3 linked regions of the Drosophila melanogaster genome follow. Changing the gene in region 1 together with any one later gene gives a genetic interaction. Each region holds a gene or a part of one and is shown in the gene's direction. Other genes may lie near its edges.

Region 1 (3,237 bases):
TAGCGTCTGCCACCGTTCTGGCAGGGGTCCGTCCCCCGCCGGCAGCAAGCGGAGGTGGAGCCTTGCGCCTGTTGACTAAACGGAATCCGGATGCTGCATTCGCACGCCGCCAGTTTGCTGTAGCGGTTGAAAACGGCGGAGGCAGAAAGAAGCCGAATGGAACTTTCAAGCTCGCAGTTTTGGGGGCCACCGTAGGCGCGGCCACCGGATCGGTGTATACGATGTACCAGCGGTGGACAGACGGCAGCTCGCACAAAGAGCACGAGGAGACGAAGCCGACGCGGCTGGACGGGATTCCGGCTGGAGTGCGGATAACCAAGCGCTATGTCAACCCCAAGGACACGTCCGGTTTGGACATTGTGCTGTTCCAGTTCCAGACGTGTCCCTTCTGTTGCAAGGTGCGCGCTTTCCTCGACTACATGGGCATATCCTATGCGGTGGTCGAAGTGGATGCCGTCCTACGGCAGGACATCCGCTGGTCGTCGGTGAAGAAGGTGCCGATGGTGCTCATCCGACAGCAGGACGGCAAATACGTCCAGATGGTGGACTCAAGTGCCATCATATCCCTTATAGCCACCCACCTGCAGGACAAGCGCACCGACATCGGCGAGCTGGCACAGTTCTATCCGCACACCTCCTTCTTCGACGATGATGGCAAAAAGAAGAACGACATATTGAATAAATACTTCCTCATGTACCGCGAGCATACGCCCAAGGGAGTATCCAAGGAAACGGATGAGTAAGTTAACCAGGGTCAAGTAATCTTTTAATCAAATCTTTTAACCTTGAGTGTCTGTTCTTAGAACCGATCGCAAGTGGAGAAGCTGGGCCGACAGCCACTTGGTGCATCTAATATCGCCCAACTGTTATCAGACCATGGGCGAGTCCCTAGAGACTTTTGAGTGGTTCTCGCAAGCTGGCGAGTGGGACGTTCACTTCCCCAAATGGGAGCGCGACCTGATGGTTTACTGTGGTGCCACCGCCATGTGGGCCATAGCCAAGATGCTGAAGCGCCGTCACGCCCTCAGCGACGACGTCAGGTCGCACATGTACGATGCCCTTGACCAGTGGACCACTGAGCTGAAAAAGAGGAACACGAAATTCATGGGCGGAAAACAGCCAAGTCTGGCTGATCTATCGGTTTTCGGCGTGCTTTCAAGCATGGAGGGGTGTCAGACGTTCAAGGATTGTCTGCAAAACACCAGCATCGGTAAATAAGGTTTCTTTCTCGGGTTTTGTACCTTTTTACGAACTTTTTACATATTTCCGCAGGTAAATGGTTTTATGACGTCAAGGCGTTGGTGGAGAAGAATCGTGGGCAGTTGCAAAGAGAACGTATTGAAAACATGGCCGCTATAGCTTAAAACAAATATTTGCCCTTATTTTATCCAAAGATTGTTGAAAATAACCGAAATGTTCATTAAAATATACATTTTAATCAAATCTAGTTTGCCGTTTCGTTTATGGTATCTGAATGTATATATTTGGTCAAAAACGCGTAAGGAGTGCAAGTTTATGGTACAAATTGGAATTAATTTTAGGTTTTATATTGTTATTTTATTTATATGTTAAATTAAAAATGTTTACTAAATAAATACCTCCTGCTAATAAAAATATCCCAAACCGACGTATGTATACCTATCGATAACGTTTAAGCAGGCTGGATCCGATGCTCAACAACGGTCACATTGATTTTGTGATTTTGGTTAGCCGCTTGCAAACTTGCAAATCATTTCGTTGGTTTTTTACTTGGCGAGTTAATTGGTGAATTTCAGCACAAAACATGAGCAGATTGGGCTTTGAGCAATTCCCGGACTACCAGGTGCCCGGCATGAAGCATCCTGATTTCTCGCCCTACGAGTCCAATGGCGGGTGAGTTGCTATTTCCCAGCGGAATCGAGATGTGGAAGAATGTCTCCATCTAACCGGAGTCTTCCCTGTTTACAGCTCCATTGTGGCCATCGCCGGAGATGACTTTGCCGTAATTGCAGCGGACACCCGCCTGAGCAGCGGCTACAACATTCACTCGCGAACGCAGAGTAAACTCTTTAAACTCTCGCCCCAGACAGTGTTGGGTTCCGCAGGCTGCTGGGCGGACACGCTCTCGTTGACCGGATCGATTAAGGTGCGCATGCAGAGCTACGAGCATACCCATCTGCGCACCATGACCACTGAGGCCGTGGCCCAGATGCTCTCCATCGCCATGTACAATCGCCGCTTCTTCCCGTACTACGTGTCGAACATTCTGGCTGGAATTGACAACGAGGGCAAGGGCGTCGTCTACTCCTACGATCCCATCGGTCACTGCGAGAAGGCTACATACCGCGCCGGCGGCACTGCCGGCACCCTGCTGCAACCGGTGCTGGACAACCAGATTGGTCACAAGAACATGAATTTGGAAGACGCCGACAAGATCAAGTTAACCAAGGAGCGGGCCGTGAGCGTTGCCTCCGACACCTTCATCTCTGCCGCTGAGCGCGACATCTACACCGGCGACTCTGTGCTGATCAACATCATAACCAAAGATGGAATTGAAGTACGAACTCTGACGCTGCGTCAGGACTAGCCTGTGGCGAGGATGTTGCCGTTTCTTTTGGTTAGGGGCATTCGGTGGAAACCAGGCATTCTAAGTTAGTTGGCTTCAAATTTTTGTATTTACCCAAAACAACAAAACATCGTAATAAACCGAATCTTTGAGATTTAAAATATGCGGCCTAGTGTGACCAGCTGGTCCTAGAAATAAATCGTTCCCAAGCAGTGCTCACAGAAGAGGCTGTGCGAATAGTACAGCTTTCCCCGTACCAACAAATCCATTTTGCTAGCTAAGTTTGTGCCCGCTGGTGTGCGTTAACAAAATCATTTCTTAGTGTTCGTCTCTCAGAGAATTCAGTCCAATGACGAGTTTCGAGTTTGCACTGCTGCCGCTTCTGTTTTTGCCACTGATCCTGGAAAACCCGCTAACCTCCGCCCAAATGATGTCATCGCTGGTGAAGCCGGGCATTTTCCGGCACCTAATGTGCCGCAACAACATGTATCCGCGCAGCTCAGTCCTCCGGTACCCAGTTTCCGACGAACAGGTCTTCTGGTCGGAGCCGTTCCCGGACTACTGCCCGCCTGCGTACACGGCGCCACATATTGGCGGGCAGGTGTGGGCTGATCCGCCGTTGCCCAGCGACACATTCTGGCCACAGTGGAATCAGCTGGATGGACAGGTAAACCGCGAATCCTTTCACGGTG
Region 2 (3,866 bases), on another chromosome or scaffold:
AACATCAACCAAACGGTGGCCGCCGTGGCTTCGGTGACCACAGATCTCGAGCGAGAAATGTGGAACATAGTGGAGGCCTCCAGTGGCGCCGAGCTGGGTGAAACCAGCTACGAGTTCCCTTCCCCCGCTCCGGGTTCCCAGCGCAGCAGTGAACGAAATAGCAGTTCCACAGTCCCACCAGCTCCTCCTGCTCCTGCGAAGCCCTCAGTTCCGTCCGCCTCCTATGACAACCACAACTACAGTTTCAGCCAGGATGAGGACGAAGATGATGATGATCTGGAGTTTGAGGACGTATTCGTGCCGGCCAGCTCTGTTCCAAATCCCGTTCAGCCTGGCATAGATCCCGTGGAACTGCGTCGCTCCCTGGCTTTGGTCATGAGGGAGAAATTGCGATCGGATGACACGGACTCCAGGCCAATGGGCAACAATCAGGATCTTCCCATAGATGAACAGTCCAGGGAGAGACCGCTCTCCACTCAAACATCTCCCACAAATGGCCCACTTCCGGCTCTTCTGAGGGCCAAACTGCTTGCTGGCAACTCCAATAGCGCTCACTGCCTGCCAGGATCCACGGCGAGTCCTGCTCCCCAGGAGCAATCCGGTATCTTTGTGATCGATAGTGAGGCGAGTCCCGGCTCAAATGGGCACAAGCCTAAGTATCGAAAGGGCACGGCATTCACTCGGAGTTCGCTGAAGAAGAGCCGATCCTGCAACTGTAGCTCCATCGCTAAGGGACGAGGGGTCCACGACGAGCCCAGCAGTAATCTCTGCAGGGATCAGGAGTCCTCTGTACTTCCACAGCATCCGCAGCCAGCCAACCATCCCACAGAGAACTTTTTTAGTCCGCTGAGATCGGTGGGCAGTTTCATGCAGCATTCCAACTTGTTTCACTTCCTCCAGCCTCACGCCGCCCGTCCCACCTCATCGACGGCGTCGTCCACGGCCTCCACGCCCACTCCATCACCACCGCCCATGGGCCAGGCTCAGGAGGAATCGGTTCCAGTGGGTCTGACCACCTCCTCGCCGTCCCTTCTGGCGACCAGCGCGGAGAGTTGACCTTCGCGGTCGGAAAAGAAGCGGGATCAGCAGGAAAGTCCACTGGAAGAGGATCACAAGGATGCGAAAGGGGTAAGGGGTGACCCCTGAGGAAATACTCGCAAGTCAAAGCTTTTACGTTAAGTACTTTCCAGCTCTCTTAGGCTCTCTTTCGGAAACGTTGTCAAATTCTATATCGGATCTAAATCAATTAGTTCGGTAGTGAAATATAGAGATTAGGAGCTATGCGCATTTATTTTGAGTGTATGGTCATAATACGTTTCTACGGACTAGTTAATTATGTACATACATATGTTTAATGTTGTTAGAGTATTTACTGTGTATATGTCAGCTTATGTATACCTGAACGTCTGTGAAAACCAAGTTAAGCCATGCGACATGAATTTCAAAGTTGAAGTTAAATAAAGCGATTAAACCAGAATGTACATTCATGTTGTGTTTTATTTTTGTTGGTTAAATAAGTCCTGATGCGATGTATGCCTATTGGTAGGGTATACAAGTTTTTCTTTTACATATGCTAGTATAGCGGATTTTGGCAAGCCTGTTGATAAAAGCTTTTCCAGAGCTTTTTGGAAGCGACGCCAAAACTATTGGAGCTCACTTGCTCAAAGTTCCCCATCAGATGGTTGGAGTCACTGCTAAATCTAAAACCGGCAACATTTTTAAAACCCCAACAAGCCGTTTATATAATTTCAGAATAACTTTTACTACTCCTTACTTACTATTGTAACCACAATAGAAATGCCGCCTGGAGTACTCAATGATCTGAACAGGAACGGTATCCAGTGCATTGCATCAGTAACGCTTCTCCAGCGATTCCCGTATCATCGGAACCACCACACCATCCCCACCATGGACCAGAACCGACCCACTGTGGGTGGTGTTACGGCGGAGGTACTAAAAGCCGTCGTTTCGGAAGCTCTGCTGGGCAAATTCACAGCTGTTTTCCCAAAGCTTTTCAAGTGCCAGTGGAAGACTTACGAAGGTCAAAAGAAGGTTAGTACATAAGCAGACGAACTTCGAGGTGGGTGTGTGCTCTGTGCCGGGATTAATCTCGAATCTGGGAAAAATCTGAGTGGAAAAGTCGACGGCGAGCCTCCAGTCATCGAGTTACCCACTTGAAATTATCAGTTCCAAACACTCTAATAGCAGTCCCCTTGTTTTGTCCCCCGATCCGCAGTTCTACGCCAATTTCAGCACCGATTGCACCGACAGCAACAGCAACAACATGAGCCGAAAGTTCTGCGTGGGAGGCAACTGGAAGATGAACGGCGACCAGAAGTCCATCGCCGAGATCGCCAAGACCCTGAGCTCGGCCGCCCTCGACCCCAACACGGAGGTGGTCATCGGCTGCCCGGCCATCTACCTGATGTACGCCCGCAACCTGCTGCCCTGCGAGCTGGGTCTGGCCGGCCAGAATGCCTACAAGGTGGCCAAGGGCGCATTCACCGGCGAGATCTCCCCTGCGATGCTGAAGGACATCGGCGCCGACTGGGTGATCCTGGGACACTCGGAGCGTCGCGCCATCTTCGGCGAATCGGACGCCCTGATCGCCGAGAAGGCCGAGCACGCCCTGGCCGAGGGCCTCAAGGTCATCGCCTGCATTGGTGAGACCCTGGAGGAGCGCGAGGCCGGCAAGACCAACGAGGTGGTGGCCCGCCAAATGTGCGCCTACGCCCAGAAGATCAAGGACTGGAAGAACGTGGTGGTGGCCTACGAGCCCGTCTGGGCCATTGGCACCGGCCAGACCGCCACACCCGATCAGGTAAGGTCGCCCGCAGAGGCTAATCTCTTCCAGAACTGATATTTTCCCTTCCCAATTGCAGGCTCAAGAGGTCCACGCCTTCCTGCGCCAGTGGCTGAGCGACAACATCTCCAAGGAGGTGTCCGCCAGCCTGCGCATCCAGTACGGTGGATCCGTGACCGCCGCCAACGCCAAGGAGCTGGCCAAGAAGCCCGACATAGATGGCTTCCTGGTCGGAGGCGCCTCCCTGAAGCCCGAGTTCGTGGACATCATCAACGCCCGGCAGTAAGCAACGCGATCTCAAGCATCAGATCGCTTTCGGCCAGCGAACTGCCCGCGAAGGAGGCACTGGAGGGCAGGACTCCATACTCCTGCGCGCGAATGCATTACGCACACACCTAGTTGTTGTCACCACCAAGTGCAGTTCCAAATTCATAGTTACCTTGCGAGAATGCTACTCACATCCTTGTTGTTGAACGTATAGTAGTCCATTGTGTAAATCTTAAATTATTCAGGCAATAATTATGCGCTACTCATTTACTTATATACCAAACCAAACAGGTGTCTTATTTTTTGCAAGACTATTTCAGCTATTTTTAGAGCGATTGGTTGAACGACAAGGTGTCCAAAGTTGTGTGCACATATGTACATATATGTGTCACCTCTGCGGACCTTAAACCGAACAAGTTATTACTTAATTTCTGATAAGCATGCGAAATGGCAAATATTTGGAATATGAGTTCCAACTGAGTAATCGAGGCAATCATTGTATTCACTTACCTAACAAGTGAATCAAATCATTTGCATCATGTTTTTGACAATATCTTGCATAAAAGCCTTCAAGAAGAAGCAATGCATCATAAGATAGCTTAACTTGAGATAAGAAAGGAAAACAGTTTGTACTTATTATACTTTATACTTATACTCAGAGTTCATTTCTAATCGAAGTGTTCGAAGATTGTGCACAAAGTTTGGCAAATATGGAGCTAAACAAGGCAATTTCTTTGTAGCTGATAAGTTATTTAGCTTAGTAAGTAATTTATGGTTAGTAAATCAACAAAATATT
Region 3 (5,664 bases), 2.0 Mb from region 1:
GAACTCCTGTCTGGCGTGAACTTCAATGCCGTGCGCTCTGACAACGTGTCGTGCTGCTCCGTAACGCTGATCTCTACCTTGGAGTGCACCAATCTCCGACTGAGATGCTCCGACGGGGCAATGGGCGACGGCAGCTCCAGCTCGTGCATTAGAAGTTTCCTCTTTCCCGAGCAAGTACCATTATCGGGCGTGCCAGGCGGCAGTCCGCATAGGTTTCTAATGGGTGAAAGGCAGCCGAAGCTACTTTCCCCGGATGCGGAATCCGACAGTCTGCCAGCGAACATTGTTTGCTTGCCCTGCGGACTGGAGCCCACCATGGACCTCGATGGCTCTGCCGTGTCCTGTTCGCCCAAAACAATGACATTGTGCAGATCGAAGAGTTTCCGGCGCATGGAACTATTAAAGATGTCGGGACCACCACTTGACTTGCTCCTGCCAGACAAGCGGCCAGCCAAATGTGGCTGGAAGTACGGACGCAGGGCATCCTCTAGGGCTTTTGGCAATATCGGCGGCAAAGTAAGTTCCGTTTGCACCTCGCAATCCCGCATCCTTCGCGACTTATTCGATATGGGAGTGTTGTCCTCGCTGCAATTGAGTATTATGCGCTGTTTTCGCAATGGGCAATCCACCGGACTGGGCACAATGAGTGACTCCTTGAAAAAGGCACTGATGGCCAACTGGGCCTTGGATTCCTGCTCGGGATCGGGGGAATCGTGGAACTGGGTTTCATGGGGCTCCACGTCGGCGGGTTTTAGTTGGGAGACCTCGTCAATGTTCCACTCGAACTGGGTGGACGAGAGTTGGGGTGTCCGCGAGCGGAAAAGTGAGGGGCTGCCAGGAAAAGAGAGGGTCGCGTTAAGAGGATTTTTCGAGCAGACGAAAAACTCACCTGGCGATCAGTGGCAGGTGTAAACGATCGGCCATCGCTCCTTCGAAGGGATTCCGCACCTTGTGCAGCCTTTTCGGGGGCGGGGTGCACACATTTCCCGACATCTGGGGGCTGTATTTTCCATTTTCTTTGCCGCCATTCGTTGGCGTTGCCGACGCCGCCGACGAGTTGCTGCTGTTCGAGTGGCTGTTACGGCGCGCCCGGCACTTCAATCCGTTCACATTTGTAATGTATCGATTCTTGAGGGCTTGCGGCGTTCGCACCTCGTCGTTGTACATCTTTTTCAGTCACTAAGTCGCCTAATTTCGACTTAAAATAAAACAAGCGCGCCTGCTGCGACTCGCAGGCAGATGTCGGTATTTTCAAATGCAGCAGTGTTGTATAGCGATGCAGCGGAGTTATCGAATCGTTGGCAATTCGAAAAGCAGAATGCGAAAGTGAGGGATGTTCAAGGAAAAAAAGGTGCTAACGACTGATTTGTCACTTAATATTTATTTATTCGCATATCTAAAAGTGCCTGCAAATTATTTCGACTCCCGTCTAACTTTTAGTATTTTTATTTTGCGCGCCACCCGCTGCTTGCTGTCGATAACACATCAGCTGGGCGACTTTAACCGTTTTATAATAAAATGGGACCAGTCTAAAAATAAAGAATGGTTACTGGTATACAAAATTGTATCCCATTATAAACTTGAGGAATAAGTAGCTCGTAATTATCCGAATATGGATGCATTTCAATATTTGGGCTGCTAGAACCTTTTATTGTTCCTATAACCCGAATAGAGATTCCATTTCAATATAACTTTATCTTGAATGGTTTAGTTTACTTTCTATTTAAACTAATATTCCGTTTTAAATGTTTCAATACTCTTATATTAGAAAAATACCAATGCCAACATCTGAGTACGATTTCGCAACTGGTCACACTGACAGCTGTCTTCTACCAACACATATGCGCGCGTGTGTATGTGTTTGCGTGCAGTGCGAAATAGAAACAAGAAAAGCAAGCGAAAAATCACAGAAATTCACAAAAAAAAAGCCCAACTACTTCCAAAATTGGGCCGCCCGGCGAAGAACCGCAAAAGTGGCCAAAATTCGGCGAAAACAGCGCAAGTGTGACAAAGCATTCGTGCCGCTGCAGTCGTCGGCGAAACGGGCGAAAACAAAAGAGAATAGTGTTGATAGTAATACGAGCGTATTTAGCAGTAGCAGCAGCAGCAGCAGTGGCCGAAGCTTCGGCAGGGGAACGGAACGGTGGGCGGTGGGTGCAGAAGCGGGCCGGGGAACGGCCGAGAACGAAACACTAGCAGTAGCAGCAGCAGCAGCGACAACAACAAATGCCGGTCGCTTTATCACCGCCGATCTAATCAAAACAGTTAACAGCGACAAGCAGCGAGACAGAGTAGCAAAGGGCCACAGGGACGCGAAAAACCCCCTAGATGCCACCAAACATTTGCGCCTATCGGACTGCTTGCGTACCGTGCAAAAACTTGCTATTGAACTTGAGAGCGCCGACGCCGGCAGCGACGCCAGCGCCCAAGCCAACGCTAGCGCCGACGCCAGCAGCGCCGTCATGTCCGAGACGGGTTGTCGGCACTATCAAAGCTATGTGAAGGAGCACAGCTACGATACATTCCGGGTCATCGACGCCTACTTCGCTGCTTGCGTCAACAGAGATGCGCGCGAGCGAAAGGTGAGTTCAGTAGCGTGGAAGAGAGTGGGAGCTAGAATGAGTGCGCTACTGGCGTGGTGAGGTGAGAATGTGCGAGTGTGCGAAGGGGAGAACGCAATTACAATCAGAGGTGCGCCGTGAGTCACGTGAAAGGTCACTGACACCCCGGCTGTGGGATGACAGTGGCAGACAACGCACCGTTCTCACCACAAAGCAGTGCGGACTTTTTTGAATGGGTAAAGCATGCAACAGCTGTTTTAACAGCTGACAAATTGGCACTGTGAAAAATACTTTTGCATCGAAAAAGTTTTGTTTTCATTACGGTGAAATTACATATCAAGAAAAATATATTCAAAATATTTAATATTGTTACATGGCTTTTGTATTTTTAGCTTCATATTGATTATATATTATATTGCTTACGAGATTTAGAGTTTTCAAATTTTTGTTACACTTTTATGCATTTAGTATGGGACGTATTTTTTGTAAAGTTAATGGGATTAGAAAAAAAACGAATATAATTTTTTATCAGCTGCCATTTTAAAATCTACCTCCGCCAGGCTATTCACTGCAACTGCTTCGAGTGCGGCAGCTACGGCATCCAGTTGTACGCTTGCCTGCACTGCATCTACTTCGGATGTCGGGGGGCCCACATCACGAGTCACCTGCGATCCAAGAAGCACAATGTGGCCCTGGAGCTGTCCCACGGAACGCTCTACTGCTACGCCTGCAGAGATTTCATCTACGACGCGCGGAGTCGCGAGTATGCGCTGATCAACCGCAAGCTGGAGGCGAAGGATCTGCAGAAGAGCATCGGCTGGGTGCCGTGGGTTCCCACAACCAAGGAGACCAATCTGCTGCTGGCCAATGCGAGGCGTCGGCTGGTGAGGCCCAATCAAACGATCGGACTGAGGGGTCTGCTTAATCTGGGCGCCACTTGCTTCATGAACTGCATCGTCCAGGTGGGCAAATCCAATTAAACTGGCGAGTCTCCTCTCACTGACTTACTCCTGTCTCCTCTAGGCTCTGGTTCACACGCCCCTGCTCAGCGATTACTTTATGTCAGATCGTCACGACTGCGGCAGCAAGTCATCGCACAAATGTCTCGTTTGTGAAGTGTCACGTCTCTTCCAGGTGAGTTCAATATGCTGTGGTGTTTATGAGGAGTCTTTTCTATTCGATATGCTATCCCCCTTTGTAGGAGTTCTATTCCGGCTCCCGTTCGCCGCTGTCGCTGCACCGGCTACTGCATTTAATCTGGAACCATGCGAAGCACTTGGCCGGCTACGAGCAGCAGGATGCGCACGAGTTCTTCATCGCCACTCTGGACGTGCTGCATCGGCACTGCGTGAAGGCAAAGGCGGAGCACGAAAGCAAGAGCAACAGCTCTGGCTCGGGAAGTGGAACCAATTCCAGCAACTCGAGCAGCTCGCATTGCTACGGCCAGTGTAATTGCATCATTGACCAGATCTTCACGGGCATGCTGCAGAGCGATGTGGTGTGCCAGGCCTGCAACGGAGTGTCCACCACGTACGATCCGTTTTGGGACATTTCGCTGGACCTGGGCGAAACAACAACGCATGGTGGTGTTACTCCAAAAACGCTGATAGACTGCCTGGAGCGGTACACTCGGGCCGAGCATCTCGGATCGGCGGCCAAAATCAAGTGCTCTACCTGCAAATCCTACCAGGAGTCCACCAAACAGTTCAGCCTGCGCACTCTGCCCAGCGTGGTGTCGTTCCATTTGAAACGCTTCGAGCACTCAGCTCTGATCGATCGCAAGATCTCCTCGTTCATTCAATTCCCCGTGGAGTTCGACATGACGCCCTTTATGTCGGAGAAGAAGAACGCCTACGGCGACTTCCGGTTCTCTCTGTACGCCGTGGTCAATCATGTGGGCACCATCGACACCGGCCACTATACGGCGTATGTGCGGCACCAGAAGGACACGTGGGTCAAGTGCGATGATCATGTGATAACGATGGCATCGCTCAAGCAGGTGCTGGACAGCGAGGGGTAAGAATGACCAATATATTACAACTTTATCACCGCAAAAGCAGCATTCAATGTTAACTTACTTAAGTTGATTTCACGTCTTATCTTAAATTCATATACAACGTTATTTAGCTTTTTATTCGGATTATCAAATCATTATTAACTAACTACTTATTTTCACTTCTTTCAGTTATTTATTGTTCTACCATAAAAATGTGCTGGAATACGAGTAAGAAAATCCGCTGAGATCGATTAAAGCAGCGACTGCATCCCTCAAAAAACAAAAGCAGAAAACAGAAGTCAATGCATTACGAATTACGAATAAACACAAAATACAGACAAGGACGCGGCAGCGCTTACATATTAAGTAATATTAACACAAACACGAAAGCAATCCTACAATTTGAGGAGTGTTCATTTGATTCGATTGGGGTTATTCAAGCTCACAAACTCAAAACATTGGAACGAACAATGGAGAACAAAAAAAAAGGAAATTAATGAAAATGTAATCAATCTGAACACTCGATTTGTGGAGATACCCGTTTTGCTCTAAGTATTTCAAATCCATAATACTAAAAACAAAATCAAAAACAACAAGCAGATGACTTATACATTTATATTTAAAAATCAAACAAGGGATATTCTACAAACGCCGTATTACAAATGGAAAGCGAATTTTTATCATTTTTCTTGAAATGCCTTTTATTGAAAAAAAAAATGTTAAAAACTCATTTTCAGACACATCCGTTATAACTGAACCAAAATCCAAATCATGCTTATGAATGTCATGGATTTTTTTTATTTCGTCTTCATTTAAATAAGGAGAGCAATAATTGTAAATTTAAATACTTACATTTTTGGGGGCTTAGGAAACTGGGATTAAGATACATTGCAATTATTTAAAAAACAAAAAAAAATTACAACCGACGTCAACTTGGGCTCGTCCGGGAATTGAACCCGGGACCTCTCGCACCCGAAGCGAGAATCATACCTCTAGACCAACGAGCCTGCGGTACTGGGAGCGATCAGAATGACGCTTTTTAATGTGCGAGCCCTCTCACTCCATCGCTCTGCCTTGTGCTATGAGCAGGCTAAAAAGAGACAACTA

What was found. A genetic interaction does not mean that the proteins touch.
Region 2: of Prosbeta6 (region 1) and Tpi, changing one suppresses a phenotype caused by changing the other (phenotypic suppression), as found in Drosophila melanogaster (one study listed by BioGRID).
Region 3: of Prosbeta6 (region 1) and not, changing one enhances a phenotype caused by changing the other (phenotypic enhancement), as found in Drosophila melanogaster (one study listed by BioGRID).

Annotation. Positions count from the first base shown.
Region 1 is NT_037436.4:16,608,865-16,612,101, reverse strand, and holds Prosbeta6 (proteasome beta6 subunit), read left to right. Parts: upstream 1-1,683; 5' UTR 1,684-1,783; coding exon 1,784-1,872; intron 1,873-1,947; coding exon 1,948-2,566; 3' UTR 2,567-2,702; downstream 2,703-3,237. Other genes in the region: Su(P) (suppressor of ref(2)P sterility), read left to right, coding at 1-739, 804-1,210, 1,273-1,364; CG4098 (uncharacterized protein), read left to right, coding at 2,895-3,237. UniProt on the Drosophila melanogaster protein: Non-catalytic component of the proteasome, a multicatalytic proteinase complex which is characterized by its ability to cleave peptides with Arg, Phe, Tyr, Leu, and Glu adjacent to the leaving group at neutral or slightly basic pH.
Region 2 is NT_033777.3:30,132,465-30,136,330, reverse strand, and holds Tpi (triose phosphate isomerase), read left to right. Parts: upstream 1-1,731; 5' UTR 1,732-1,797; coding exon 1,798-2,052; exon of another isoform or gene 2,053-2,236; coding exon 2,237-2,821; intron 2,822-2,882; coding exon 2,883-3,089; 3' UTR 3,090-3,350; downstream 3,351-3,866. Other genes in the region: AdoR (adenosine receptor), read left to right, coding at 1-1,056.
Region 3 is NT_037436.4:18,618,290-18,623,953, reverse strand, and holds not (non-stop), read left to right. Parts: upstream 1-1,824; 5' UTR 1,825-1,841; coding exon 1,842-2,582; intron 2,583-3,121; coding exon 3,122-3,523; intron 3,524-3,584; coding exon 3,585-3,695; intron 3,696-3,762; coding exon 3,763-4,577; intron 4,578-4,746; coding exon 4,747-4,789; 3' UTR 4,790-5,148; downstream 5,149-5,664. Other genes in the region: bora (aurora borealis), read right to left, coding at 1-831, 890-1,167. UniProt on the Drosophila melanogaster protein: Histone deubiquitinating component of the transcription regulatory histone acetylation (HAT) complex SAGA. Catalyzes the deubiquitination of histone H2B, thereby acting as a coactivator in a large subset of genes.